Canis lupus familiaris: one gene and its partners. The protein of the gene in region 1 interacts with the protein of each later gene in a pairwise test. Links are inferred from orthologs where the notes say so. Each region holds a gene or a part of one and is shown on either strand. Other genes may lie near its edges.

The links.
Region 2: the proteins of LDLRAP1 (region 1) and MAPK8IP3 interact in binary tests that used the Homo sapiens proteins (3 or more experiments, as listed by UniProt). The two-hybrid records come from large-scale screens. The link is inferred for Canis lupus familiaris from reciprocal best matches to the Homo sapiens genes LDLRAP1 and MAPK8IP3.
Region 3: the proteins of LDLRAP1 (region 1) and PSD4 interact in binary tests that used the Homo sapiens proteins (3 or more experiments, as listed by UniProt). The two-hybrid records come from large-scale screens. The link is inferred for Canis lupus familiaris from reciprocal best matches to the Homo sapiens genes LDLRAP1 and PSD4.

The regions. Positions count from the first base shown.
Region 1 is NC_049223.1:73,747,223-73,757,340, forward strand, and holds part of LDLRAP1 (low density lipoprotein receptor adapter protein 1), read right to left. Parts: intron 3,500-10,118; coding exon 3,357-3,499; intron 2,539-3,356; coding exon 2,426-2,538; intron 229-2,425; coding exon 114-228; intron 1-113. UniProt on the Homo sapiens protein: Adapter protein (clathrin-associated sorting protein (CLASP)) required for efficient endocytosis of the LDL receptor (LDLR) in polarized cells such as hepatocytes and lymphocytes, but not in non-polarized cells (fibroblasts).
Region 2 is NC_049227.1:39,580,668-39,590,785, reverse strand, and holds part of MAPK8IP3 (C-Jun-amino-terminal kinase-interacting protein 3), read left to right. Parts: intron 1-2,511; coding exon 2,512-2,523; intron 2,524-3,190; coding exon 3,191-3,208; intron 3,209-4,191; coding exon 4,192-4,249; intron 4,250-4,660; coding exon 4,661-4,813; intron 4,814-5,473; coding exon 5,474-5,555; intron 5,556-6,567; coding exon 6,568-6,698; intron 6,699-7,025; coding exon 7,026-7,082; intron 7,083-7,161; coding exon 7,162-7,332; intron 7,333-7,897; coding exon 7,898-8,024; intron 8,025-8,144; coding exon 8,145-8,240; intron 8,241-8,316; coding exon 8,317-8,472; intron 8,473-8,925; coding exon 8,926-9,091; intron 9,092-9,806; coding exon 9,807-9,989; intron 9,990-10,084; coding exon 10,085-10,118.
Region 3 is NC_049238.1:37,470,088-37,479,147, reverse strand, and holds the end of PSD4 (PH and SEC7 domain-containing protein 4), read right to left. Parts: intron 8,345-9,060; coding exon 8,301-8,344; intron 7,952-8,300; coding exon 7,791-7,951; intron 6,765-7,790; coding exon 6,694-6,764; intron 6,605-6,693; coding exon 6,441-6,604; intron 5,738-6,440; coding exon 5,593-5,737; intron 5,339-5,592; coding exon 5,195-5,338; intron 3,661-5,194; coding exon 3,403-3,660; 3' UTR 1,424-3,402; downstream 1-1,423. UniProt on the Homo sapiens protein: Guanine nucleotide exchange factor for ARF6 and ARL14/ARF7. Through ARL14 activation, controls the movement of MHC class II-containing vesicles along the actin cytoskeleton in dendritic cells. Involved in membrane recycling.

The DNA of each region.
Region 1 (10,118 bases):
GAATTTCATACTTCCTATTAAGTGACATCACCTCTGGGTCCTGCCTCCCCCCAAGGGCAGGGCTGCTGAGGCAAGGCCAGAGCCTGCCAGGGACCCAGGCCCTCCCCACTGACCATTTTCCGTTTGGTGCAGAGGAAGGCATGGCACTCGAGATTCTCGTTGTGCTGGCTCTGTGCAATGTAGGCAAACACTTTGTCGTGCATCTTGTCTGCTGTGCAATAGGAGATCCTGAAAGACAACAGGGGAAGTGTCACCAAACCTGGCACAGGGGCCTGCCCACATCTGGGGTGCCCCATAGGGCATCTCCCCTGAGTCCCTGAGAGCCAGCCATCCTACTCCACCAGGGGGAGACTCTGGAGATGGCTTTGGCCTCTGGGACTGGCATTCTGGGCCATCGATGGGGGGCACCCAGGCTAGGCAAGAAGGAATGCAGGGAAAGACAGGGTACTTCCCCTCTTTACTGAGCCATACCCCAAAATGGTAATGGCTATGCCCTTCCTGCATCCCAGGCAACATTTTAGATATGACTTCACTTAATTCTCAGAGCTGCCCTCCAACAGGTTCTATAATTGTCCCCACTTTGCAGACGAGAAAACTGAAGCTAATGGTCTCAGACCACCAAGCTAGTGGCAGAGCTGAGAACTGTACTCACCTGTGGATTCCAGAGGCTATAACCACTGTCAGGCTACCCTTAAGGGTCTGGGCTGACCAGACGGAAGGGGAAGCAGGACACCACCCTGCCCACCGATGCCCTTCACCAGGCCTTCCCTCCCTGCCCTCCATCCATGCCCCTGCCCAGAGGTTGGAGGAGCTCTAGGCCCTCTCTCCCAGTGTGACTGACACTGCTGGCAAATTGTCCCAGAGCTGTGGTCAGAGGTGGAGGAGCTGGGAGCAGGGTGAGTGTGTGAAGATGACTGGACTGGGAGCCCCAGCCAAACCAGGAGGGATACACAGCAATCCCCTCTTGGTGGAACACGTGCCCCCATGCCCCCTCATTTGCTCCTTCCCTGCTGGCTGCTCAGCCTGGGAATCTCAATTAGGAGATGGGATGCCTGGGTGGCTCAACTCTTGAGCATCTGCCTTTGGCACAGGGAGTGATCCCAGAGTCCCAGGATCAAGTCCCACATCAGGCTCCCTGCATGGAGCCTGCTTCTCCCTCTGCCTATGTCTCTGCCTCTGTGTGTGTGTGTGTGTGTGTGTGTGTGTGTGTGTGTGTCTTTCATGAATAAATAAAATCTTTAAAAAGAGAGGGGGGGGGGGGACTGGCAGCCCAGAGGTGGGACAGGAGCTCAGCTAACTCCTTCCCCCAGTGTGGCCCCAGCTCCTATCACAGCCATGAACAAAGGGATCAGCACCACTTAAGACCCCCAGGCCAGCAGCTACCTCTTCGCCATCCCAGGGAATCCAGCCTCCTGCCACCTCCCTGGGGCAGGCCTTGCTGGGTCCCCTCAGGCAGGCCCCTCCTTCTCTGCCTTCTTGGGAAATATTATACCCTCCCTCCTATTTCTTGCCCTCCATGTCCTCCCTGCCAGCAAGGGCTGGGTGTGAGCCCTCCCCTAGTTAAAGGAGGCAGGCACAATCAGGAAGGTGAGAGGAAGACACCAGCCAGAAACTCTAAGACCAAACCCCGCCCACCCCCACCCCTCACCTCTCCAGTACTGGCTTGTGCTCCAGTGGATTGAGCCAGTGCTTGGAAACAAAGCAAGAGGGTGGAGGGATGCCCAGCAGCTGGGTGCCCACTGGACAGAACTCCAGCCTTGGTGCCCTGGTCCCACCTCAGCTACTACCTCACTGTGGGGCCTTGGGCAACTCCCCGAGCCTCAGCTTCTCTGTCTGTAAAATGGACTGTCCCTTCCAGCACTGAAATCCTACAACTGACCAGCCAAGGGAGGGAACGGAGAGAGCTTGAGGTTTCAAGGGCTGGGCTCTGCTTCCTTGAAAACAGTGCCCACCCCCATACCATCCCCACTCTGGCCTCAGACTCTGCCTTGAGGCCTCCCTGAATGCCTGGCCACATGTTCAGAGCTGAGCTGCTGCATTCACAGTGGAAGAAAAAGGCAGAGACTGGGCAGCGCTCTGCTCCAAGCCTGACTCAGCAGCCCGCCTCGGGAGGGGCAGTAGGGAGGGGGCCCTAGCCCTGACTAGAGCTCAGCTGCCTACTTCAACTAGAAATAATGACAGCAGCAACTGCCTTCTACCAAGTGCCCACTGACAGCCAGGCACTGTGCACTCAGCACTTCCTAACAGCACAAGGAGGCAGCATCTGTTTCCAACTGCACAGACACACAAGGAAACTGAGGCCCCAAGGTCAACCAGAAGGAAAGTGCTGGAGCCTGGATTCAGAAAGGGTGACCCCCCCCCCCAACTCCAGCCCCTGCACCACTAACCCAAGTGGCAGAGTGAATGTGGGCAATGCTGAGCATACCTGTAAATGGACACGTTCTCAATGAGCTGGTTGGTGATGTTGTCGGTCAGGATAATCCCCCGTGGCGACACCTTGAGAGTCACTTTCTGCAGCTTCTTCCCGCTAGCCTTGGCCTTGGGGTAGATGTGGGTCAGAGAAGCCTGCGTGCCCCACTTGGGACCTATCTCATGGACTGCACCTAGCTTGTCCAAGCCCCAGACTCGGGGCCCCAGTGAGGCCTCAATGTAGAGACAGCAGACACTCTGGGGAGGATGGAAGTCCGCACTCTCCTGTAATAAACTCAGGGCAGCTGCTCACAGAGCACCTGCTGTCTGCCAGGCACTGGACCTTGAGTCATCCTTATAGGCAACAGAGCTTCTCCTGGGGGAAATGGACTCAGAGGTTAAAGGACCTGCCCCAGGACACACAGGAGAGACCGCAGACTCTGAGCACTGACAGGGCTATCACAACCCAGCAGGATCACTCCTGGGGACTCCCCACTCCACCCACTACACGTGTGAAGGTCTGTGTGGAGGGCTCCAAGGCCACCAAGGAAGGTGTACTTCTAGGGCCATGCTTACTCAGGATGGGGAAGCTAGGGACTAGGGACGGGGGACAGCTGGTCTCTGGTGGGTTACCCTGTCCCTCAAGCCAGAGGGCAAGTGATTGGGTAACAGCTTGGCACTAAGTCACCAACCCTTAGGCAGGGGACCTGAGTTGGAGGAGGGGAGGCTGGAAGAGGCCATGGCCACAAGAGCTGGAGAGGAGGACACTGACCCTGACCCCACAAGCCCAGTGGCTCCCCTCTACCAGAGTCCCTAAGCTGGATGCAAGAGAACTCAGGGGCAGGAACAGCTCAGATGAATCCAATCAGGGTAATAAGCAGGGGATGAGTGGTACCTCAAGAAGCTGGCCCTTGGCTCATGGCTCCCCCACCCTGCCTGGGGCTCACCGTGGCCACAATCCTCTTGACAGCAGCAGCTGACAGCTCCTCACCCTTGGGCTGCTCCACCAGCGTCATGCCCAGGTACTTGAGGCTGAAGAGCATTCCCTCGAGCAGTGTCTCCCGAGTGTCTGTCCAGTTCTCTGGCAGCTCTGGGCAGGAAGAAGACAGGTCCTCAGACCCTGTCCTCCCAGCCCCCACTTCCTAGGGAAGACGTAGCAAGGGGCATTCGGGTTCGTCTATCTACCATTATTTTTACCTATAATAAAGAACAAACATTTTCCAGTACTCACCAAGAACCACGCTAAGAAACCTTATATAAAATAGCCTCATTAAGTCTTACGACAATCTATGAGATAGACACTTTTATCATACCCACTTACAAAGACACTGAGGCCTGGGGAGATAAAATCACACAACCAAGTCCACAGAGCCAGCCAAGTATAAGAGCCAAGATCCGAACCCATATTTTCAAGTTCAAAGCCCAAATTCAACTTCAACACTAATGCTTGCTGAGAGCAAACCATGCTTTTTTTTTTTTTTTTTTTTTTTTTTACTGAATCTTCTGCACAGTCCTGTGACATGGATGTTATCCTCACTTTATAGATTAGGAAATAGGAAACTGAGGCTCAGAGATGCAAAGTCATCAGACAAAGACCACATACAGTGAGTAAAAGGTTGGGAGTTAGGCTCAACCTGGGTGAGCCTCCCAGGTTCCCACTCAAACCTGGGTGGCTCCCAGGGCCCCAGCCTGCTCTGCTGCCCTCCATCTGCACAGCCCTAGAGAGGAAGAGGCAGGGAGGAGGGGGACCAGGAAAGAGGTGGTGATAGGGTCGGGCAATGGGAGAGGTGATTGCTCAAATGACATCCTATGAAGGCTTCCTGAATCCAGCTCTGCTTCCCACCACCTTGCACGTGTTGGGGAAGTCCCTTCCCCTCTCTAAGACAGTAATGCTGAAGCAATGACACAGAGCAAGGCACATGGAAAGGTCCTCTGAAAACTCTGGCCATGACAGAGATCAGGAAGGTTGGGAAATGGGAGAAAGAGCCCAGCTCACTGGGTAGGGAAACAGATGGAGAGAGAGAGAGTTGGAAAGCCCCTGCCTCATTCATCCACATGAGAGAGGGCCCTGAGCAGGCAGGAGGGCATGTGTGGTTTTCATCAGTGGTTTGAACAACCCCAGGATCCCTCCCCAGATCATTCAGCTGGAAGCAATGAAGCCAGAAGCGGAAGAAAGGTCTCTAAGGACCCTTCCAAGACCGATCACCAAGACAATGAACACCCCATGCTCCTGCCTGTCAAGGCCCTTTGCCTGTCCTTTATTATCCTTTCTCCGATGCTGCAGTGTAGGAGGTACTAGGATTGTACTTTGAAGAGGAGGAAACTGCTCTTTAGCTGCACACAATCTTGGATAGGGCAGGATCCATAGAGGAACCAGTTTCCAGGGGCCACCACGGCCAGGGCCAGCTTCCCTGGACCATTTTCTGAGAGAGGAGTGGAGAGAATCTTGTGCTCCTCCAGAGGCCCTCAGTGGCTGTAATGGAAGAGCCACAGGAAGAAAGCTTAGGAGTGGGCATCAATGGTGCCAGGGCAGCTGAGGTTCTGAGCTGGCACAGCCTGATTCTGAGGGTCCTGCACTATTGGGTCCAGGTGGCAGCACTGGGCCCCTCTCCCTTGTCTGGCCCATGCTGCCCCTCCTAGCAACTGTCTTGGGAGTTCTACTCCTCCCGGAGCTCTACCTCCCTCTGCACCAGTCAGAAGGAGCCTTGTATACCCACACCTCTCTGGCTTTGACTTGAACAAGCCACTGTCCCTTTCTGAAACTACTTCCTCCTCTGAAAAATAATGCACGTATGTTGGGTGAGGGCTGTTTTAAAGAACTTACGGGTGTACCCAGTCCCCGTTTGAGATCCAGGTGAGCAGGGACTTGTTGACTGGTCATCCAGAGTCTGGCATGTAGTTGGCACTCAGTATTTGCTGAGTGAAGAAATGACCTGGACAACTCCAAGGGTTCTTTCAGCCTTGCAATGTCTCAAACCCCATCCTTAGCTCCAATCTCCAGCCCATTGCTCTCTAGCCCTTGAACTTGGGCCACCGACCCAACATGAGGCCCAGCCCCCACTGAGAAGACCCTCAAAGTGACCCTATCCACTGCTATATCAATCACGAGCCTACTTCACTTGATCCTCCAAAAAAGAATCAGAAAGTCCCTGAGGTGTCCCAGTTCTGGGATGGGTCCCGGTGAAAATCACATCTGAGCCTTGCTCTCAAAGAAACCAAACACCACCATATTACCAGTGCAGAACAGAGCTAGCGAGCAACAAAAACAACAATAACAAAGCAGCTCTTACCATTACTTCTAACATTACAGTACTTTGCAGGCACACATTCTTTCATTTCTGTTTCATAGGAGGGAAGGGAGAGTCAAAGGACAAGTAACTTGTCACATTAGTTGTTGTCTGACTGTAAATAAAGCCCAAGCTCCTGACCAGTAGCCCATATAATCTTCTCATGAGGCAAACTACCTTGATTTTAGCAAAAGGTCAGAAAGAAGTTCCTAAAGCCAGAGATACTTCTTCCCACAATTCCTAATTCCTGAGGCTTCCCCTCAGTGGGTACTCAAACTACCACTCTCAACCCCAGATGCATCTAAACTACATGCTGCAATGCCTATCGCTAATGTCCTTGACAGACATTGCTAATCGATTGCAGCTCTATTCCCTCTGATTTACGGCTTTGGACTGTTTCTCCATATAAGGCTCCAGGCAGGCAATACCAATCAATCAGGGGTGGCCTCCTTCATCTAATTATCCATCCCTGCCCTACAGCAAGCATCCTTCCTCTCTGCCATTTTCGTGTCCCCACTACCCCATTTCCTCTGGTTCAGTTGGCCCCTCTCCAAAGCCACTTCCGTTCCTTCTATTCCAAAGGGCCAAAGCTTGCCAAGGTCACAGATGACCTCTTTGCTGTCAAAACAATCCCCAGTCCTCCCTGACCTCTGAAATGCTTAGCATATTCTGCATTCTTCCTTTTCTGGCCTGACCCCTCCCCTATTCTGCGGCCTCTTTCATGAGGGCCCTGGTAGACTGGTTACCACTCATCAGCCTTGGAGACCCTCTGCCCCAACTCCTCACATGACAGATGACGAAACTGAGGCCCAGGGAGGGATGGGACTTGGGTAAGATCCCACAAAGCAGAGCTTCACTCCCACACACATACCCCAACCCACTAGAGGCAATTCTGACTACAGGCAATGACTACTGGGGAGTCACAGGTGTCCCAGTCTTCTCTCCCACAATATCCCTGCATGCACATACTCATTCACACGCACCTGAGCACACACAGCAGAAGCTGCAACCATGTAGAGTCTCTTCTTCTTTCCCACTTCTGTAGCTTTGCTTAAGGAGTTCCTTCTATCAGAAATGCCCTTTCCTTTATTTGATTGAAACCCCTTGCATTTAGCCTCATCCAGGCAGCCTTCTTGAAGGCAGGATAGCCTGGCTGTTAAGAGCAAAGCTCTTAATCCTAGAATCCCAATTCTGACATTGTTTGAATGATCTTGAGCAAATTCATTACCTTCCCTGACCCTCAGTTTTCTCTTCCAATAATATGCGGGAAACAACAGTCTCAGGCTCACAGGGCTGCTGTTTTGACCCTTTGATGAGATAATGAGGTAATAAAACGTAATGTACTTAGCACAGGACCCCGCCCTTGGTCACGCCTCCTGATGAGGCCCTCTGTCAGAGGGTCGCTGTGCCTCTCTAGAGCATGGATTTCCTTCTCTTCCTTCTCCAGCCACATCACTCACAGCCAGCAGCTGCCTACCATGTGTCTTCCTCTTGAAGGACTCTTGTTCATGTGCGTCTCCCCCAGGAATAGAAGAAGGTGCACTCCTGTCCAGTGTTACGGCTCGGCCTCGTCCTTTTCCTCCTTCCCATTACCCTATCCTCCCGGCCCAGCAAGATCCTCCTTCCCCTCTAGGGAGGGAAATCTGTCTCCCCCTCCTATACTGTCCTTCTGGGCATGACTCATAAGGTCTCTGGTGCCCACACCCTCCCTGAAGAAACCTGCACCAAAGAGCACTCAGTATGACAAATGCAGAGTTTGTGTCTGCTCACCATCCATCTCAGGCTGGCGGCCACATGCTCCTTCCTAGGAGGAGCCCGGGGCTTTGGGAAGAGCTCCCAGAGGCCCTCAGGCAAACACAGGCCTGAGTCCACAGCCCTGTTCCGGTCCTGGTTATTTTTGGTCCTGTGGTGGGTAATGACTGCGCTATTTTAACTTAGCAATTTTACAGATGACCTGCTGTCACAGTTAGCTGGGGACGGACCATATGCCCAGTTTAACCCGCGGCAGCAAACGTGTATTCTTTCCTCATTAAGGCCCCCTGCCCAGGGTTTGGAGCTGGGCAGGGTGCCCTGTGCCCCTTTGGCTGCCCAGGAGACCCAGCCTGGCTGGTGTCTGGAACATCAAAGTTATAGCCAAACCCATGGGCCAGGGGGACCATCCAAGGGTCCTGGCCTCCAGCCTTTTCTAGTCTGGTGGGGAGGTGGCCTCAGAAGCCACAGAGTAACATCTGAGAAGGCAACCCGAGCCCTGGCATGACCTGGAATGTAGCTGCTTCTCTAAGGCCACAGTCTCTGACAAATGGGTTCAGTTCCTCAAGAACATCATCAGAAACAGGTTCATCATGTAAGAAGTGCCAGGCAAATTCAGAAGTTGTTAAGATTATCAAAAGAAAATAATTAAAAAATGATGATAGCGTAAGCTCTCATTTCCTGGATGGCTACTTACTCTGTAAGAGAAAAACATGCTTGTAAAGGTTAAAACTATGGGGTCTGGAGATGGGCTATGGGGTTCAGGCACTCCATCCACCTCCCTGGTCCTCCGTTTCCTCACTTAAAAATTGCGACAAGAAGCTTGTCCACCGCACAAGGTTGTTGTGAGGATGAAATGAGTTCACACCCGAGGTGGGCTTAGAACCATGCCTGGCACATACTGAGGGCCACTGAAGTGTGAGCTACTGTCATTACCCAGGGTCGAGGGCTAAGAGCTTGAATGTGCACGCAGCCATTTACAATATTTTTGAGGAGAGGCAAGGATATATTAGGATTCCCACTTTACAGATGAAGAGGCTCGGAGGAGTCTGGCCATGACTCATAATTGACAATGCTGGTCTTTGCCTCCCACAGCCCCATGCCATTCGCCCACTCCCGCAACCCACCGAGCTCCTTCCCGTGTGAAGCAGGGGTCAGGATCACACAAAGGGATGGGCATCGTGTCCTGCATGCTTGCCTGAACAGGGTGAGCAGGGGATGACCTGACTCCTTCAAGGCACATATGCCTCCCTCGGCCGCCAGACCTGTGAGAAGCAGTGCCCCGGCCTCCAGTTCAACGTCCCCTGCACCTGCTGTTCCCTCTGGCTGGAAGGCTCTTCCCAGGTTCCTCCCTCCCTCCCTCACATGTGCTCCAAGTCACCTTCTTGGAGAGGCTCTTCCTGACTGCCTGCACGGACGCTCAGTGCCCCACTGCCATCCCCTCAGTACACACCATTTCCACACATGCCACCTCTGCCTGCAGCTCTGGCTGCCGGAGGTGTCAATGCCCATGCTCATTGGGGCATTAAGGACTCCCATCCCTGAACCCGCCACTGCCAAGAACTGCCCCTCAAACAGAATACCCGAAGAGCACATTCTCTACTGCCTCCCAAAGCTCCCAAAGTGCATCCCAAGGGATGGCACTCTGGTCACCCATGCTGGTGACTGACTTCATACTGTCCACTTTTTGGACTCTCTTCCCCTCTCACTTCTCCTAGAAAGATTTCCTGGGATCTCTTTCCAAATAGATTTTATCTGCACTCAGATCCTTCTCTCAGCACCTGCCTTCTAGAACCCAAAGCAAGATACTACTCTAAGAAAGGTCCCGCCATTTCCTCAGCCCACTTTATCCTTCTTCATGGCGTCACCACTATTTATCACCACACCTTTCATTTGAACCCTGGTCCTTCTGTCTGCCTCCTCCAGACAGACTGACTTGTTCACCACACTCTCCAGTACCTATCAGTGTGTGACACACAGTTTGTGATCAATAAGTATTATGACCTGGGGGCTTATTTGCACTATGTTTTATTGTGAATATTATAATTAAGTACAGACAGAGTCTCCTGACTCTAGCGTTCCTGGAACTTGTACCTTGCATATTTTTTTACCTGCTGAGTCCTTGGACAACCTGGAAGCAACCTGAGGATCAGAGAGACCCTTCTTTCCAAGAAGGGATCTGAGTGGTCAGGGTGAGTCAATTTTCAGGCAGTTGGAAGAAAGGAAAATCTCTGACTAGGGACTGAGATTAAATATTTATGGCTCCTGAAGAGATGGGGAAGACATGTGTGGGAAAGGGAGACAGTTCTCCTTCCAACTCCCGACCCGCCGGGAGACAGGTGGTCATGAGGTTCCATCCAAAAAAAGCCTGGGGTTCTAGCTTGCTGTGTGACCTCAACCAAGCTGCCTCCCTTCTTTGGGCTTCAGTTTCTCCACAAATAAAACAACGATCGTGCTAATCCCAGCTGAGGCTCAAAGCTGATAGCAGGTGTCAAGTGTAACCTTAACTCCACTGGCTTCATTTTAGCCCTAAAAGTCAACCACAGGTCTCAGTTCCAGGTGGCCAGAACACCATCTCAAGCCAAACCTTCTCAGCATCTTCAGCCCAGACACACCCCACAGCTTCCCTCTCTACCCTGTGGCCACCACTGTTCTCAGGGGTTGTCAGCCGAA
Region 2 (10,118 bases), on another chromosome or scaffold:
AGGGCGACAGGGCGCGAGTCACTGTGCTGTGTACTCAGAACTTCCACCGCGATACTCCATGGGTCGGTGGGCACCGCCTAGTTCGGGCTGGGATGCCCCCCCCCCATTCTTGGGAAACACCCGTCAATGAGCTGTGCCTCGCCAGTGTGGCTGCTCCACGGAGGAGCCTGGGGCCAGGGAGCGGCTCTGGTAGTCTCCATTCTGTGGCCGTTTTCGCTGAGGAAAGGCCCTGTGGCCTCAGAAACACCAGTGCCACGGGCTGGGGTGAGCGGAGTCCTCCGTGCTTCACGGGCCTGCACCGCCTGCTCCCTGCCTCTTGGCACTTGGGCTGTGAATTCCTGTAGCAAGAAGGAAGGAAAGAACCTGGAGAGGCAGGTCTCAGGTCTCACTAAACTCCTGCCACCGCTTGCCACACACACCGTGACTTAAGAAATCGAGCCCTTGCTGCCGGTCCCCGGAGGGGGTGCCATCGAGTGAGACCACACCTGGTCCCAGGGGCGCCACACTGCCACCGTGCATCCCTCGAGGTGAGGGAGTCGTGCTTGGTGACCACTTCACGCGCACTGGGGCCTAGCAGGCGGTGTCCCGTGAGCCACGGGAGTCCCCGCGAGGGAGACTGTGTGCCCCCTTCACAAATGAGGGAACGGAAGAGAAGCCAGGCAGTTAGACTGTGCAGGGCTGCACTGGCCGGCCAGACCCAGAGCGTGTGCAAATCACCTTGAGAAAGACCAACGCGTGTGAACAAGTCAGGAAACACGACTGAAGAGCAGGAGACCAGCCTCGGAGTCTCAGACGTGTGGTTCGTGCTGGGTCTGCCTGCGCAGCTCCGGAGCCGCCCCGCAACCTCACCCAGCGGCCCCTGGTCCGGACGGAAGTGCCCTTGACGAAGGGATTCTGAGGTTCACCCAGAGGAGTAAGCGTGTGGGAGCAGCCCGGGATGATTGAGAAAGAACAAGGTCGAGGGTTGCCCGATGTTCCAGGCGTGAAAGCATTTATAGCGCTGCGGCCACACGCCAGCGGCCCCGGGGTCCCTGGTGCGAGACCAGAGCCATGTGAGGGGTGGACTCGCCAGGCATCCCCTTGGTGAAGAATGAAGTGTGGCCCCCACCTCGTGCAGCACACCAAAGGTTTCTAGTAGATGGAAGATGCAGGTGTAAAAACATGAGGAGAGGGCAGCCCGGAGGCTCAGCGGTTTAGCGCCGCCTTCCACCCAGGGCCTGATCCTGGGGACCCGGGATCGGGTCCCACGTCAGGCTTCCGGCACGGAGCCTGCTTCTCCCTCTGCCTGGGTCTCTGCCTCTCTCTGTATCTCTCATTAATAAATAAAATCTTAAAAAAAAAAAAAACATGAGGAAGGAAGCCAAAGCATCCTGGAGAGTGTGTTGGCGATCGGAGCCCCCCTCCGTGGCCACAGCCGTAGGGGAAAATACTGACATGTCTGATGCACGCAGCTTAAGAAAAGGTGCGTCGTTTCCCACCCGAGTGGAACCCAGTGGTGCATACACACAAGATGGCAGCGAACACCAATGGATGCTCAACCTCGAGAACAATCCAGGGAACGCGGAGAGAACTCTTTCCTCAAGAGATCCACAAAGCCCAAGCAAGTGCTGCTGCGCCTGCTGCCAGGAGGTGTGGCCCGCGGAGTAGCTGGCAGTGTGGGGTGGTGGCCGGGCGGGGACAGGGCCTCCAGCGGGCCCCCTCGTGTCCTGCACCAGGCACGCCATGGCACGGGGCGCTGCGCCCGAGGTGACACGGATCTCCTGTGCAGTGTCTCCTGGCATAGAGCACCTGGCCCAGGAGCGTGGATAGCATGGCCCTGAGGCTGTCCTTTCACTGCTGGTGTTTCTCCCGGAGTTCTGAGAAGCATCCCAGCTGCGGACAGACGTTGCCCCAGGAGGGAGCAAGGAGAGAGGGTGCACCTGTTTGTCACTTAAATTCCTACATTAGACTCTGGAGAAGTCAAGAGACTGTAGTGTTCCTTGTGCGGGAAATGACCACGCAGAGTGGTAGTGTTGCACCCATCTCCAGCGGGGCAGCAGAGAGGCTTGGACCCCAGTGAGGGGGGCCCTGCCAGCCCACAGGCCCGCCGCCCCCACCACCTGCCCTCCCTCCCAGCAGCGGGCCCTCGAGCCTGGCCACCCTGGGCACCTGACCCACCCACGCACGCACGTGCACACACACACGCACACCAGTGCACACATATGCCACTGCACGTGCACACGCACACACGCTCTCGCCTTCCTAGGCCTCCCCCTCCCGAGGGCTGAGCAGGTGTGGGGCCTGGCACTGGGTCTCCCATCTTCCTGTAGGGTGGCCGTCCCCAGTGGGATTTGTCACCCACAGACCTGGTGACATCAGCTCGGGTTCCTTCTTGCTTTTCAACATGGAGATGGCTGCTCGGTGTTGCTTTCTTTTTAATGAAAATCTCTTTATTTTGTTGGTTCCAGTCACCCACTGACCTTTGTCACTTCCTTTCCCCCGTCTCTCTGTGCTTCGCTGGACACACCCCAGGGGAGTTCTCAGGTGCGTATCTGTCCCGTCTGTCTGTCTGCACCCCCCACGGCGGCGTCCAGCTGCAGTGGGGTGGCCTCCCTGGGGCACTCCCTGCTGCAGCCTCTCCCCTCCTGGTTCCTTTCCAGGCCACTAAGGCACACGTGCTTTTGCTCACCAGCCTACTGCCGCTCGGAAGCTTATTTTGGTTTGCTCTACTAGCCCACTGACCATGGCCTTCCCTGTCCCTTCAGAGGCCCACCATCCCCCTGTGCCATTCCTTAAGGTTCTACGGAGCCATGAGAAGCATAGCACAGTTGGGATGGGGCCGCAGGGCCTAGTTCTGTGGGTCTCCCCTCTGTCAGGTGCACCCCGGAAGTCGGGGGGCCTCACGCCCTAACACCCTAACGCCCACCCCTCCCAGCCCAGGACTTCTGTGTGTGACGTCGGTGCACTGCCCCGCCCTCCCCCCCCTCCCTGCACCACCAGGTGCCCCTGGCCTGGCGGTGTCCTTGCAGAGGGAGCGTCCCGCCTCCTGGCCCTCTCCAGGACGCACACACCCCCCCCCCCCCACCGAAGCCCTAGTGTCCCTCCGCCCTGCTGCTCACACAGGCTTAATGCGCTTGTCTTTTCTCCCTTCCTTCCCTCCCCCTGCCGCCCTGGTCGCCCGGCTCCCGTGGGACTGGGACGGCTCTCCTAGTGCGCCATGATTTCTTTGGTAAGGCCAAGGCCCCGATTCAGTTTGTGTTTCTCCCGTTCCTGGCTCCCCCTGTGTGCCTCACACCTCCTTCGGTGCTCTGAGCTGTTTGCTTTGCTCTGCATGCTGGGGGCGGCGGTGGGGTCCGCAGAGGCCACGGGATCTCCTGGCCCCTGGCTTTTGGGGTGGGGGTGGGGGGCTCGATCCCGACCCCCCAGCGTCCTCTCTCAGAGCAGACCCTGGACAGGCTGAGGGGGCGGGAGCACAGACAGTGGTCAGACCCCGTGCTGAGTACACCAGTGCGCCTCAGACCAGGGCAAGTGGGTATTAGGAACAGACCCCGGGCTGCTGGGGCTGTGTGTCCTCAGGCCGAGCGTCAGTACATGCGAGTTTGCGACGTGCCTGCAGAGAGCGTAGTCGGTGGGGCCCCCAAGTGGATCCCCCAACCCAGCTCCTGTAAACCAGGGTCGGCCCCTCTGGGCACCAACCCCAGGGAGCGCCGCCCTCCCTTCTGCTCCCTCCTCTGCCTGCTGCTGACCCCACCGCTTGGGGTCGGGTCCCACCAGCCCTGCTCCCTGCCCTGGTGGCGGGCCGAGCCATCTCCTTGGCCAGGGGCTCTCTGCCGTCCTGTGCTGTCACCACGGCTCCAACCGCTATTCTCCTGGGCCAGCTCTGAAAAGGGCTCAGGAACCCCAGGGCTCGGGGATACAGGGGGTGCTAAGAGGGGCCAGCAATTGAGGGGTCAGCTCACGTCACTGGTGAGCTGTGGGGGGTCAGCTAGGGGGGGACCCGCGCAACACCATCTGCAGGCTGCTCGCTGGCAGCACTGCTGGCCGGGCGCCCACCCAAAGACCAGCAGAGGCCTCTCCCCAGGGCCCAGACCTGTGGGCCTCATCCTCCTGTGTGCCCTCCCGGGGCCGAGGTCTGTTGCTCTGAGGCAGGCGGCGTAACCTCAGGGTCTAACTTTACCAGCACAGGTAACATCTCTCTGCCTTTTGTTTCAGGAATGGGCAAGGAAGTGGGGAATCTGCTTCTGGAGAACTCACAGCTTCTGGAAACCAAGTAAGGATGCCCTTCTCCAGGGTCACTGGGGTGGCTCAGCCCAATGAGCCTCCCAGGCTTGCTGTCAGCTCAGGTCGTAATCTCAGGGTCATGGGATCCAGCCCTGCCTGTGTCCCCCTCTGCGCTGGGTGTGGCTTCTGCTTGGGATCTGCCCCCCTCCCCTGCAAAAGGAATGCTGCCCTCCAGCAGGGAGGTTGCTGAGATAGCCCTCCCCCAGGGCCATGGCCGCCACAACCCCAGGGAGGACCCGGATCAGAGGGCTTGGCACACCCTCCAGGGTCACCGCCCTTCCCTGCGTTCTGCACCCGGGTGCCCTTCCCGACCCCTCGTCCCGGCAGGCCCCCTTCAGCCCTCATCGCTCCACATGCACAGTGGTTCACACGGACGTCCACACTTTCTGCCTTCTCCAAGAAATGCTCTGAATGTGGTGAAGAATGACCTCATTGCCAAGGTGGACCAGCTGTCTGGGGAGCAGGAAGTGCTCAAGGGGGACTTGGAAGCCGCCAGACAGGCCAAACTCCGGCTGGAGGGCCGCATCAAGGACCTGGAGGAGGAGCTGAGGAGGTGAGGGGTGGGCCTATGGGAGGGCGGGGAATGCCCCAGGAGGGGGTGGGGCTCCTGGGAGGGGCAGGGTGGACCCCAGGCCTCTCCTCCTTGGCGTCCCCTGGAGGGCATTGCCCCACGGGGGCTCCACTGGGGTGCTGACTGTGCAGCCTCCCCCTCCTGCCCTCACATGGGAGCACTCCCAGGCCCACCTACCCCCCGCCACCTCCCCCATCCTGCCAGAATCCCTCACCAGGCCTGGGTGTCTCTGGCAGCCTCTTACAAAGGAGGGAGGGGAGGGGAGGGGACCCCAGAGCTCTGGGGTGTCCTCCCCAGCACTTGGCACTTCCCTGTGGCCTTTCTCTTCTAGCCTGATGCTCGCCCCGAGGGGTGCCTATGGCTGCAGACTGGACAGGGGAGGTGTGACAGGAGGGCGGGAGGGGGGTGGCACCGCGCACGCCTGTGGGGGTGACCGAACCGCCTCGCGCTGTCCAAGCAGCTGGCCTGCATCCCCGTTCCCGGAAGCCCTGCTCCCCCGCTGGGGCAGCCAGGACGGGGTCGGGACTTCACAGCGCGTGTGAGCAGGGCAGTGGGCTGCTGGTCCCCAGGGCGTTAGGAGTGCTCAGGGCGCCGTGTCCAGCGGGGCCACCACCCCACCACCGTTCCCTCCTCATCCTGCAGAGTGAAGTCGGAGGCCATCATCGCCCGCCGTGAGCCCAAAGAAGAGGTGGAGGATGTAAGCAGCTATCTCTGTACAGAATTGGTATATTCCACTATTAACATGAGGGCATGGGGGGCGGGCTGCGCGGGGCGGGCTCCCAGGGGCGCCCATCTCTCCGGGTCTCGGGGCCCTCCTTACCCACCCTGTGTCGTCTCCTCCGCCCATCTTGGTGGGAACCCTGTGCAGCCACAGGTGCCCACGCCCCCTTTGGGTGCAAGTACGGTGCTGAGGAAAGCCCTCCACTCCTTGGGGGCTGGTCCGTGACTGTCGCAGGAGGGCAGAGGGGGACTGTGGGGGGGGGGCCTTGGCCCTCTCCCGCGGGGACCCCTTCTGGCTGGAGATGAGTAGTCCTCCACAGAAGGCAAGGCCTGACTCTTCAGCCCCAGGTAGATAGTGGACACTGACCACACCGCTCAGTAGCTGTTATTTTGGGGGGCACGTGATGCACGGATCAGAGTGCTTGCCATTTACTCTGGCTCGTCCTGCACACCCCCCACCCCGAGCACCCTAGAACAACACGGAGGTGTGGGTGAATTGTGGGGCTGCAGGAGGTGTCGATCAGGGCGGGTCTCTGCTCCCCCTGCCCTGTGCCAGCCCACGGCAGCCCAGGGCCTGGCTCCTGGGAGCAGACCTGGCCCTGCCTCAGCACTCAGAGCTGGCAGGCCCCAGGCAGATCTGCTAACTCCTGCAGCGTCCCATGTGGACGTACTGACCCCAGGTCCACTCACTGGACCTTCCCTGGAGCCTCTCTTTCTGAGGCTCCACCCGGTCCAGGCTCACCTGTTAATGCTCACTGATGGCATTTGGGGTTGCCCTGGTGTCCAGGGGCTTGTAAGAAAAGTTGCTGTGTTGTACCCCTTGAGCATATCATGTGACCCTCTGGAAGGTGACCCTTCTTGGGGTGGGTAGACCCCCACTATGTCTGGTCCCCTGCCCTCACCTTCCCACCGCGTTTGCCTGGACGGGGAGGCGTATCCATGCGGGGACTGGCCCACTCCGGACTGACCTGCTGGTGGCCCCCCCGCTGGCTGAACAGCAGTGCCCTCCCCTGCAGGACAAGATCCCCATGGCACAGCGCCGCCGCTTCACACGGGTGGAGATGGCCCGTGTGCTCATGGAGCGCAACCAGTACAAGGAGAGGTTGATGGAGCTCCAGGAGGCCGTGCGGTGGACTGAGATGATTAGGTGGGCCCCCGGGTCTCCTCTTGGACCTGTGCTCACTGTAGGATGCCCTGACAATGGGATGAAGGCGGATCCCCACCCCACCTCCCTCTCCCGCAGGAGGACTGGAAGGGGGACCTGGTGGGAGCCTGTCGGGGCCCTGTGCTGGGGCCCCTCCGGAAGTGGTGGTGGACCCACCCAGCACCCTGAGAAGGTCCCAGGCAGGGGAGGCAGGAGGGGCCCCTGCAAGGGTGGCACAGGGTCACAGCGTGGGTGGGTGTGGTCTAGGAGCAGGTCAGCCTGGGCGGGAGGGGGGGGCTGAGCTTGGCTCCTCCCCTGCCCCTCCCCTAGAGCATCCCGAGAACATCCGTCTGTCCAGGAGAAGAAGAAGTCCACCATCTGGCAGTTGTGAGTCGGGGGTGCCAGGGTGGGGGGCAGGGAAGGCTGCCCCTTGGCCGCCCCTCACTCCCCATGCCTCCACTGGCAGCTTCAGCCGCCTCTTCAGCTCCTCCTCCAGCCCCCCTCCGGCCAAGCGGTCCTACCCGTCAGTGAACATCCATTACAAGTCGCCCACCACAGCCGGCTTCAGCCAGCGCCGCAGCCACGCGATGTGCCAGATCTCGGCTGGCAGCCGACCTCTGGAGTTCTTCCCCGATGAGTGAGTGTCCCGTCGTCTCCCCCGCTTCTCCTGCTGGCCTGCACATGGGGGGTCTGGGGGGAGGCTGTGTGTGCCAGGGTCCCCCCTCCAGGCTCAGGCATGGAGGCCGACCTCTGCGCCCTCGCCCTGCGCCCCTGAACGTGACTGGGTATGCTGGCGGCAGCCCCCAGCCCCTGCCCTTGGGGACGTCACCGCAGCCACCTTCGGGTCGGGCCGCGCCCAGGCTGCCCAGCACACCCGCGCTCCCCGGGGATGCTTGGAGCCGACAGGAGGTTACCAGCAGGGCTGGGCTTCTTCCTGAGAATACCGTTTGGAATTTTGTGTTTTCCTTAAGTTTTGGTACCAAGATTTTGGCTCCAGGGCAGAAGTGGGGGATTGTGTGTCCCATGTCAGAAGACGGGACGTTCTCCAGGACGGGTCCAGAGGGAGGGCAGCTGCACTGTACGGTCCTGACAGCCAGCCTCAGTGGCTGTGCGGCAGGGCGGGAGCTGGATGGGGCGGGCAAGCTCCGGGCAGGGCGGCCCGCGGGACCCAGCGGTAAGTGACCTGCCTGCCTCCTGCCCAGTGACTGCACGTCCTCCGCCCGCCGGGAGCAGAAGCGTGAGCAGTACCGCCAGGTGCGCGAGCACGTGCGCAATGACGACGGGCGGCTGCAGGCCTGCGGCTGGAGCCTGCCGGCCAAGTACAAGCAGGTGCTGCAGGGGGCACAGGGTACAGGCGGAGTGGGGCGGGTGCTGGGGCCGGTGGGACAGCTAAGGGGAGCCCCCAGCCCCGGGCCTCGCGCCCACGCGGCCTCTGCCTTGTGATTGCAGCTGAGTCCGAACGGAGGCCAGGAGGACACGCGGATGAAGAACGTGCCCGTCCCCGTGTACTGCCGCCCTCTTGTGGAGAAAGACCCAACCATGAAGGTGAGCGCCGTTGGCCTGCCGAGAGGGTGGGCCACGCAGGGGAGCACGCTCACTGACCCCGTGGCCGGTCTCCCAGCTGTGGTGTGCTGCCGGCGTCAACCTGAGTGGCTGGAAACCCAGTGAGGAGGACTCTGGGAACGGAGTCAAGCCGGTGCCGGGCCGTGACCCTCTGACCTGCGACCGGGAAGTGGAAGGAGAGAGCAAGAGCAATCACACGTCCCCCGAGAAGAAGGTCAGAGCGGAAGGCAGGCCAGGGTCTGGATGACTGTGCCCAGCACTGGTGTGACAGAAACAGGACAGCTGAGGACAGGGCCACAGGCGTGGGCTCATCTGAGGTCCCTTCCCCCGGCCAGGCGGTAGAGCTGGAGAGGTCAGGCCCCTGAGGCGTCTCCCTCCCTGCAAGCTGTGGGCAGGAGCAGTGGGAGGGGCTGTGCCCCCCACTGACTTGGGAGGCAGGCAGCCAGGTACCAGAGCTCCGTTCTCAGTGGGGGTGAGGCGGTGGTGCGGCCAGGAAGTCCAGTCCCGGTGCAAGCTGCCCTGCTCCGCGGGAGCAGCGCCGCATCCCTTGAGGCCGAGGGCAGGCGGCCCCCTCAGAGAGCCCTGCAGGGGTGGGCCCCACAACCCGTGTGGCTGTGCCAGTGGTCCGTGCTCGGTGCCAGTCCTGCCCTCCTGTGCCCTGACACAGGCCAAAGAGCTCCCTGAGCCAGACGCCACCTCCAGCCGCGTGTGGATCCTCACCAGCACCCTGACCACCAGCAAAGTGGTCATCATTGACGCCAACCAGCCAGGCACCGTGGTGGACCAGTTCACCGTCTGCAACGCCCATGTCCTGTGCATCTCCAGCATCCCAGGTGAGGGCCAGCCCCACCTACGGGGAACCCGCACCAACAGCATGGGGCTCTGCACCACTGCAGACGGTGGGTGCGTCAGGAGGCCCACTGAGCCGCACCAGCCTTGCTTGGGTCCCTCTCTAGACACAGGAGCCCCTGGGGGCGTCCAGGGAGAGCACACAGGTGGTCTCGCCCCTTAGTCTTATGAACAACCAGGAGAAGACCCCAAGGTGATGCTCGCCTAACCAGAAGGAGATGGGTTGGGCCTCGGGACAGACTGAAATGCGGCACTGACCATGGACCTGCTGGTGGGCCCAGTTCCCACTGCCCCACTGCAGCAGGGGGAGCTGGGCCAGTGGAGGCTTGGCTTTGCCTCTCAGCAGCAAGCCCTGTGCTAGCGTCTAGGGGTGGCCAGGCGGTGGGCAGGACAATGGCCCCAAGCTCCTCAGAGTTCTTAAGGTTTTGTCACATGATCACAGTTGTCTGCTCCCAGAGCCCAGAGTCTCACTACTCCATGCCTCTTGCTGGTGGCTTTCCAGGCCTGCGGGCGGTGGTTGTGAGCAGGTACCCACGTGTGCTGGGGCCACTCTGGCCTGAGAGCCTGGGGCCCACTGCGAGAGCAGAAGCCTCTGCATTGGCAGGCGGTCCCCTGGCCTCCCACGGCACCTGCATCGGGCAGTGAGCCCCAGTAGGGGCTGCGCAGTGTGGGGTGACAGGGCTGTGCCTGTCCCCCCAGCGGCCAGTGACAGTGACTACCCTCCGGGGGAGATCTTCCTGGACAGCGATGTGAACCCTGAGGACTCCAGTGCCGACGGCGTGCTGGCGGGCATCACCCTGGTGGGCTGTGCCACTCGCTGCAATGTGCCACGCAGCAACTGCTCCTCCCGAGGGGACACCCCAGTGCTGGACAAGGGCCAGGGTGAGTCCTGGGCCTGCGCCTGGGCAGCCAGCCGCCTTCCCTAAACCTCTCGTTCCTCCCCACTACCCAGCCAAGCTCACCCTTCCCTTCTGCAGGGGAGGTGGCTACTGTCGCCAACGGGAAGGTCAA
Region 3 (9,060 bases), on another chromosome or scaffold:
CCCCATTTTCTTTTTTTTTTTCAAATTTTATTTACTTATGATAGTCATACAGAGAGAGAGAGAGGCAGAGACATAGGCAGAGGGAGAAGCAGGCTCCATGCACCAGGAGCCCGATGTGGGATTTGATCCTAGGTCTCGAGGATCACGCCCTGGGCCAAAGGCAGGTGCCAAACCGCTGCACCACCCAGGGATCCCTTTCTCCCCCATTTTCATCTTTTATTTTAGACTTACAGAAAAGTTGCACAGGTGGTGTGGTGTCTCCAGGCCATATTCAGACCCTACCTATTGGCCTTATTCACTCAAGTCACATCATTTTCCTAAAGCAGGCTCCCAGGCTGGCTGCTTCCCAGGCCATGAGCCTGTGCCTCTTCTGCTGATAAAGCACACTCTTGGGCTGCAGGCGAGGGCCTGAGTGACCAGACCCCACCATAGCCATACCACCGTGTTTCCCTTGCCCACTGCCACCGCAATCCTGCAGCCCAGCTCCTTCTAACGTAGCCCACCTGCTGTCGCCATCTGACTCTGACCCTCAAAGAAAAAGACCCAGGCCTTGGGCCTCAGTGGCCTTTTATTCTTTTCTGGTGCCTGATGAATGACCCACAAATGAACGTTATCAGCAGAAAGCCACACAAAACAGAGATTCTGGGAGACCAGGAAGAGGTTACATCTGGGGTGTCACCTGGGTCATGGCAGGCCCAGGCCCTGGAGACTGAGCTTCCCTAGAGGGGAAAGGAGGAGCCAAAGACAAACTTCAGCCAGCCTTGCAGAGCCTGAGCCCATTACCAAGAATCTGTGCCCACCCCACTGTCAGCAAAGAGATCACCAACCCACCTCCCAGGTGGGAAAGGAAGGTCAGACACAGGCCTGAGGGTTGGCGCTGCCCTATGCCTCAGGACTGGGACGGGGAGCTCACTCAGTTTTCACTTTTGTGGGGATAATACTTTGGGGAACTCTAGGCTGCCCCCATATGGCTCTGGATACGATATCCTTTCTCCCTCCATCTATAGGAAGATGTCAGAGTCGCAACCCTCTCCTTGGCGGACTTCTCCAGAAGGTGAGGCCTGGCCTGGATTACTGTGGATTTAGGGAAGTGGAAGGCTCTGGTTCTGGTGATGTTGGGGACAAACAGACTAACTTCCTCTTCTTCAGGGAGCAGAGCTCTGCGGCTGGACACCTGGGCCCCACAAGCTTCAAAGATGCAAGCCCGCCCCCCAGTGGCCACAGGTCAGAACTGCAGCCTAACCACGCAGCCTGCACCTTCCCAGGCCTCCAGGCCAAGGGGCCTAGGCAGCATTGGCCCGCTGCCCCCCCCCACCTCCCCCCAGCCACCACCTGTCTCTGACGGCTTCCTGCGCCCAGGTGAAAGAGAGGTGCCAGTTCTACTTGAACAAAGAAGCATCATAGTGCCACACACATGCACAAATGTGGATAAACCTCTGCCTTTTTTATTCTGGTTTTAGAAATAAGGATATGCGTTCAGTGAGGTCAAATAACCCACTCAAGGCCAAGCTTGTGTCAGTCCTGGGGCAAGTCTCATCCACCTGATGCTCGGTTTTCACCTATTAACTGCACATCAGTGACCCAAGCCGCTTTAAAACAAAAACAAAAACAAAAACATAATCATGCCCTCAACCCAGACCTACTGAATCTGAATCCCTTAGCGTGGGATTTGTTCCTGAGGATGGGAATGCATCCTCAGCATGCCTCCCCAGCAAGATCAAGTGTGCTTCTATACTGATAGCAAGGACCAGAGAACAGGACTGTTACCTCCCAGAGGCCAGAGACATGTTCCAGTCATTTTGGAAATTCCTGTACTGGCCCATAAAAAGTGGTCAATATTATTTATGAAATGAATGAGTGGATGAACAAATGATTCTGAGGTCCCCTCTGGCTCACAGTCTTCCACACATGCACACAGACCTAGACACGCACATACAGACACGCAGAGGTACAGACACACCTAGGTGAAGGGAGACTCAGCCTGGCACCCTGCAGGTGGCTCCAGCTGCTCAGAACAGCCTGACCCTCCCTTCCTCACACATTTGTGCACACCTCCTTCTTCACTTGCCTGCATTTATTGTGCACTCACTGAGTACCTGGCCCGGCCCCAGGCCCTGGCCAGACACCTCTTATGGTCTCGGAGGGTCAGCCCCAGTTGGTGGAGTTCCAGGCCACGGGGCTGGTTACAAACACAGAGGGAGGAGGCCCCCCACCCTCTAGCAGGAAGGCCAGAGAGGCAATGCGTCAGCCAGCAGGCGGCAGACAGGCAGCAGAGGCCCCTCTTGGCGGGCAGCCTGCTCGCACACTTGGCTGAACAGAGACAATGGTGGCTGCTCCTCCAACCCAGCCTCCTTCCCACAGGCAGAGTCTGAGGTCCATGAGTGTCCGGAACCTCCCCCAGAGCCCAGCTGGGAGGCAGTCAGAGGGCAGCACAAGGGGACTTCCCAGGGAGGGGAGCAAAGCCCCCTGTGAGCTGGTGGGGGGAGGGTTCTGGAAGTGGCCCTGGCACCCCTCTTGGGAATGCAACTTTATGGGATGGGGTGTGTGGAAGGGAGCCAGGCTTCTATCTGGCCTTCACAGCTCTCAGCTCCTTCCAAGAGAGCCCCCCGGGGGATGTGTCACATCTTGCCCCTCAGCCCTCTCCTAGGGTCTGAACCTGGAGGACCTCCTTCCCTGCTCTGGAGAAACAAAGGCCCCTTGTTCCCAGGGCTCTCCACAGAGCTCTGGAGGCTCCAACCCCTTCTGGCCCTCACCGACCACCAACGGCTCTGCTCTGATGATTAGCAATTGGGTGTGTGAGGTGGGGCCTCCTTCATTTGCCCCTGGTGCATGGATGATTGTACACAAAGGCCCGGGGCCCAAGAATCAGCCTCACTGAATTTGTTCTTGAAACCCTGCCCTCCCAAGGCCTACCTGTCAGGGGGCAGGGCTGAGCCACCCTGCTGTCACCTGAGGATGGCTGGGGTCTCCCAGGACCTCTCACCACAGGTCACCAGACTCCCAGCACAAGACCACCCTCAGGGCTATGGCTCCACTGGTTTGACTGCCCAGAGGCTTCCGCTGCCTCAGCCTCCCTTCTGGAAGCTCAGAACCCAGGAGTACTCTGAATTTCAAATGAGTGCTGAGCTGCCCCCAGGAGTACAGCCAAACTCTTATCCATCCTCCCCTGAGAGTGAGCAGGGACTGGGGCAGCTGGGGGCCAACCTGGGGGTGGGCACAGAGTACTAGGAAAGTTCCAGTGAACAGGGAGGGAGGATCACAGAGAAATCAGGGTTGTCCTTCAGTGGAAAGGGGAAGGGCCTCATCCCCCATCAGGGACCCACTGAAATGAGGCTCCTCCGTGGGGTCTCATCTCAGGTCCACCCCGGACACGTGGTCAGAGTCTGTGAGGTAGCACCAGCCTCACAGCTGATTGCGGTTCCTCTTGGGTATGATCTTCCGGTAAGTTCTGCGCTCTGAGATGTTGCGCTTCACCTTGGCAGTGGTGGGGGCCTCCTCCTGGTGTAGCGACGGGCTGGAGTGGGACTTCTTCAGGCTGGGCTTGGGCTCCTGAGTGCCTCCGGCTTCCCTCCCCAGGTGCTCTTCCCACAGGTCCAGGTCATCTGAGGAGCAGTGGAGACGGGCCACCAGCAGCTGCACATAGGTCTCGTAGCGGGTTTTCTGCAACACAAGGGACCCGCCACCTTAGTACCACCCTGGCTCCAGGGCTGGAGAAGGCTGGAATCATGGGGGACAGACCACTCACAGTGAACAAGACTCTGGTGGTAAAGATTTCTGCAAAAGGAGTGCTGGGCCAACAGCCAACATCTGTACTGAGCTTGACTTTGTAGACTTTGCAGGACACAGCAGCAACGTGCCCAAAACGTGCAGTTATCTGGACAGTTTTACAATAACACCTACCAGCCCAAGCTTGTTCTAACAGCCACCACCTTGTAATGCTGTAACTAACGCCTCCAGAACACGTTACATCTCTGAGACACTAAAAGATCCATAACCCACTAGGCCTGATCTGTGCAGTGCTGCACACAAACAGCTCACATCTGTACTGAAGCCTAATTGAGTCTGAATAGCATTTTAACAATTGGCATCTGGAGAGTGGGATGCTAACTACCCTCATCTGTTTAACTCTCCGAAGGCCTCCATAACTAGCAGCTTTCAGATGCGGGTGGGGTCCCAGTGTACTGAGTGTATGCTCATCCTCCACCCCACCTGATCCTCAATCCCAGCTCTGGCTGACTGGGTGACCAGGGAATCGTTTTCTCCACCTTATAAAGAAGGGAATGAGATCTAGGGAGGGCCAAGGGCTTGCTACAGGTTGCAGCTGACCATAGGCAGGGAGAGGCTAGGATTCTGCAGGCAGGGATGGGTCCTGTCACCCCAGAGACTCTGGGAAACGGTGCATCCACGGCTGAGGACCACCTACCAAGCTAAGGGATGAGCCAAAAAGGCAGGGAGAGGGCAGTGTGAGACCTGGTGAGCACAGCCCAGGATGACACGGATGCTTCCTTCTCTGGTCTCTGCCTCTGGATGGCTCTGATCCTCTCTGTCCTCATACTGCCCCTCCCCTGCCCCTCTTGGCTTCAGATCCCAGAATGTGTGCACTGACCAGAGGCCTAAGATGTAAGATGAAGGAGGGAGGGTAAGATGCGGGGCCAGGGGATAAAACAGTGCGGCACAGATCAGATTATTCCTTAGTTAAGACTATGAGGCACGGCCCTGCCTGGAATAGGATGTGAATTCATCAAGTTTGGAGAAATTGTTTAATCTTTCCCTGCCTGCTTCCTCATCTGTAAAGGGAGGATGACGGTCCCTACCTCAGAGTTGTGAGACGCCTAAATAAGATAATACCGGCAAGTATTACAAGCTCTATAAATACCGTCTACTAGTACTAGGTAGGTATTAGGGAAAATAATTCAACTAAAATACAGTTTTCCCTTCAATTTAGGTAAAGGCGAATATAGTATACTCTTAGGTGAAAGTGATCAAGAGTCCGCTGGAAGAGTTTGCAGACCATGCCAGGTGCCCCCAGGGCAAGGGAAGGGGTCTGCGTGCACAGGGACACGCACCGTGCACAGGGCGCTGCGGGCCGCCGAATGCGGCCACGAGAGGGCGGCAGAGCGCCGCACCGAGGCGGGGAGGGGGAGGGGGAGGGGGAGGGGGAGGGGCGGGGAGGGGCGGGGACTCAGCGCCGGACCTCATACTCCAGGTACTCCTTCCGCAAGCGGTACTCCTCCAGCTCGCGGCCGCGGCCCCGCCTCTCCGGGAGGTTCCGCTGCAGGTCGAGCAGGTCGTCGGAGGCAGCGTCCAGGCAGTTCTCGTGGGATCGGTGCTGCTCCTCCTGGGGGCGGGCCGGAGGGGAAGCTGTCCCACCGCTCCGCCCGGGCCCCGATGCGCCGCGCAGGCCACCCCATCCCCTCACGCCGTTCCCGGCCCCGGGTGCTCCCGGGCCTAGGTGCTCGTGCTCGTGCTCGGCGCACCCGCTCCGGCTCGCCAGGCCCGGGGCGCAGCCCCGCCCTCCCCTGGCCCGTCCCCTGGCCCGTCCCCTGGCCCGTCCCCTGGCCCGTCCCCTGGCCCGTCCCCGCCGGGCCGTACCAGCGTGCTCTGGGCGGGGCCCACAGGCAGGATGGGCCGGACGAATCTGCGCTGGGAGCCCACGGCGGCAGGGAAGGGCGGCGCCGAGTGCGTGGCGGCCGCCAGGTTGATGCGCGCGATCCAGGAACTCATCTCCTTCGCGGTGCTGAGGGCAGAGGAGGCCGTTAGTCCCCAGGGTGACAGAGTCGGCCCCGTCCCTCTCCCCGCGGCCTCCTGCGGGCTGCACAGTTCCAGACTCTCGAGACCCAGAGCCTCAAAAAGCCAGAAGCCGGTCACCAGCCCAGGTGGCTGACCTCTGCGGGTGGTTTTTATCATCTGTCAAAGAGGAAAATCTAGGAAAGCAATGGATTTTAGATCAAATGCAAAAAAAAAAAAAAAAAATCAGTGGCTAGAGGCTTTCCTGGGATCCTCTGTTCATAAGTAGGAGGCTGGCCCGGGGCTTCCAGGGAAGAGGCCCCTGCAGTGGCAAAGTGGGCAGGGTCAGAGGAGGCCTCAGGTGCAGCCCTAGGACCCCTGCCGGCTGCGGCGGTCTGATGTTCCGGGTCAAGAAGGCAGTTCCCGGGGATCCCTGGGTGGCTCAGCGGTTTGGCGCCTGCCTTCTGCCCAGGGCGTGATCCTGGAGTCCCAGGATCGAGTCCTGCGTCGGGCTCCCTGCATGGAGCCTGCTCCTCCCTCTGCCTGTGTCTCTGCCCCTCTCTCATTAATAAATAAAATATTAAAAAAAAAAAAAAAAAAAAAGAAGGCAGTTCCCACCAAGGCCCCAGCCAACAGCCATCAGAGGGTGAGCGTGAGATCAGGGAGAGGAGGGCCAGGGCCTTGCTGCTTGGCGGGCACCCCCAGGGACTTACGGTGCCTGGAAGAGGTAGAGGCGCCAGTCGGCAGTCCGCAGCTGGAAGACGTGCGGCTTCTTGGTGTAATGGGTGGCCGGGGTGGCCAGTGAGTGGTGCACTCCCACCGGCTCGTCCACCATCTGTCCCACCAAACTCTGACCACTCTGGCAGTGGTCCTCTCCCTGCCACAGGGCACAGGGCCTCAGAAAAGGGGTGCCTATCAGTTGCCCACCCTCCAAACCATTCTGGTTCCCCACCCTGCCCTTCCTACCTTCAGGAAGTAGAGGACCATCCCTCGAAGCAAGGTGTGGAACATCTTCCAGCCACGCTTACCCCACGGTGCTGCTCCAGGGGTAGAACACAAAAGCAGGTGGTGGCACCCCAACCAGACACATGCAGTCCCCTCTCCCCGCCAACTCAGTCCCTCCCCAGGGTGCACATAATGAACACACAGTGACGTACCAACACAAGAAAACAGTCGCAAACAAGCAGATGCCATGCCTCACACCCAGGCAATCTTGCTTGGACCGCACAAACGACAACAAAACCAGATGTCCACACCGACCATCCTCCCTCCAAACACTCCCACCCGCAAGCACAGTTCCACCAGACATCTTTCTGGTCCCATCCAGAGAGTCACAGGGCTCAGGTTGTCATGCAGTAGGTGGCCGGCTTCCCCGGGGTCGCCTCCCGGCCTTGCTTAGGCCCAAATGCTAGCTCCTGGCTGGTCCCACACCCCATCCAATCCAGGATTCCATTACTACTCTGGTCCCATGGCTGCCCTGCCCTAAAGCTCCTGTCTGCAGAATGAGGCCAAATGCACCCCCTGCCATTCTGTCACACCCCTTCTATTCCCAGCAAACCATTCCTGCTCCTTGTCTGAGGGAAATGCCCTCTGGCCTCTTTTGCTCTGAGATTCAACTCTGATACCATCATTTCCCAGAAGCCTCACCAATCCCTGTCCCCCACATCTCACCCTCCAAACAAAATCAAAACCTAGCCCTCCTCCACACCCCCATATTTGACCTCCCCCTCCCTACACCCCTCAGCAATTTCTACCTTTTATCCCAACACTGATGTACTTGTCTCACCTCCCCCTTACCACAGAGGTCCTGGGGGCCAAGGAGTACCTAGGTGTGTCTTGTCTCTGCACCCCCGCCCCCTGGCATCTTACCCAGCACCCAGCACATGGTCCCTATCAAGGAAGGAACACAGGCTGCCTGTCCTTGACCTGCACCATCTCTCTGCATGCTGGCACACACTTCAGCTCATGTCCCTGTGCCAAGCTACTCTGCATGCCTGTATGCACACACACTCTGGTTCGGTGGCAGACACAAGCCCCACACACTCAGCACAGCAGACACTCACTCTTCTTGCCATCCGCATCGTGATGCATCTTCCGAGCCAGGATGCCCTGCTTGTAGGTGGGCGCCGTGGGGTTCTGGGCCAGCTGGAGGAAGGGGTTGCTCATCTTGCCAGAGGGGAGAGACAGCTGGGCCTTTTCTGGTCTGCCTGCGTTGTCTTCGTCCCTGGGCATCAGAGAATCAGGTTGGGGGTACTGACTGGGTAAAAGCCACCAGGAGGGGCCCTCAGCTTCAGCACCTTCTACCTTCTCTCTCACTGGAGAGCCATATCCCAGGACCCCCCAAAAGGAGTCCTTCAAAGCCAGCTATTCCTGTCATCCCTACTCCCCACGGCCCCTGGATCCTCCAGGTATTACCTGGACTCCTCTAGCCTCTTTGAGATTGGCCTCTGTCTGGACCCCACACAGAGGCCCTGGGCTCCTCCAACTCTCAGGTGGGTGGGTGGATGGAAGGAGGATAGGCCCAGAGGCAGGGGAGAAGGGGGGGGAGTAGAAGGAAGGGGAGTCTTACTTACACGGCCCATTCAAGCTTCTCACTTCGGATAGACCAGTAGAGGGCCTAGAATGGAAGTGCACAGTGAGCAGGGAGCCTCTGCCCATGAGGCCCAAACTCAGACGTAGGACAGGGAAAAGCTGCAGTCTGCCTCTTCCATCCCCTTCCTCCTTGACCAGGAGGCAGCTCATCCATGCATCCATGTCCTCATGCATACGTGCAACCATTTATGGAGCGTTCACTGTGTGCCAGGGACTGTGCGAGATGCTGCACGGTGATCAAAGCAATCCTGATCCCTACCTGAGATTCATGAGGCCTGAGCTAGTTCTCCTGAAAAGGAAATGAATCATCCACATACCATCCTGGCCCAGAGGGATCTGACAATGCAGGAACAGCTGACTAACAGGGCCAAAATATGGATGGTGGAAGAATGAGTAAATCAGTGCTGGAACTTGGAAATGATGCAACAAAGAGTACTCGTGTCCATGCATCTTGCTGGCCTTTGTAGCTCTAGCGATGCCTAGCATCATGCCAGGCACACGGCAAGTGTTCGAGAAGTGTCCATCACAGAGACGAAAGAATCAGTGCCATCATAGCTTACTAAAAAGCAGGCTTGTGCCCCTTGTCATGCTAAGCACGACAACCTTTATTTCATTGTGATAACCACACTGTAAAGCAGTCGCTACTCCTGGAGGAACTTCAGCAGCCAAGCTGCCTAAGACTAGAAGAATTCAAACCCTAGAACACGCAGCTCCTAAGTCTTAGACTTAATGCCACTTAAA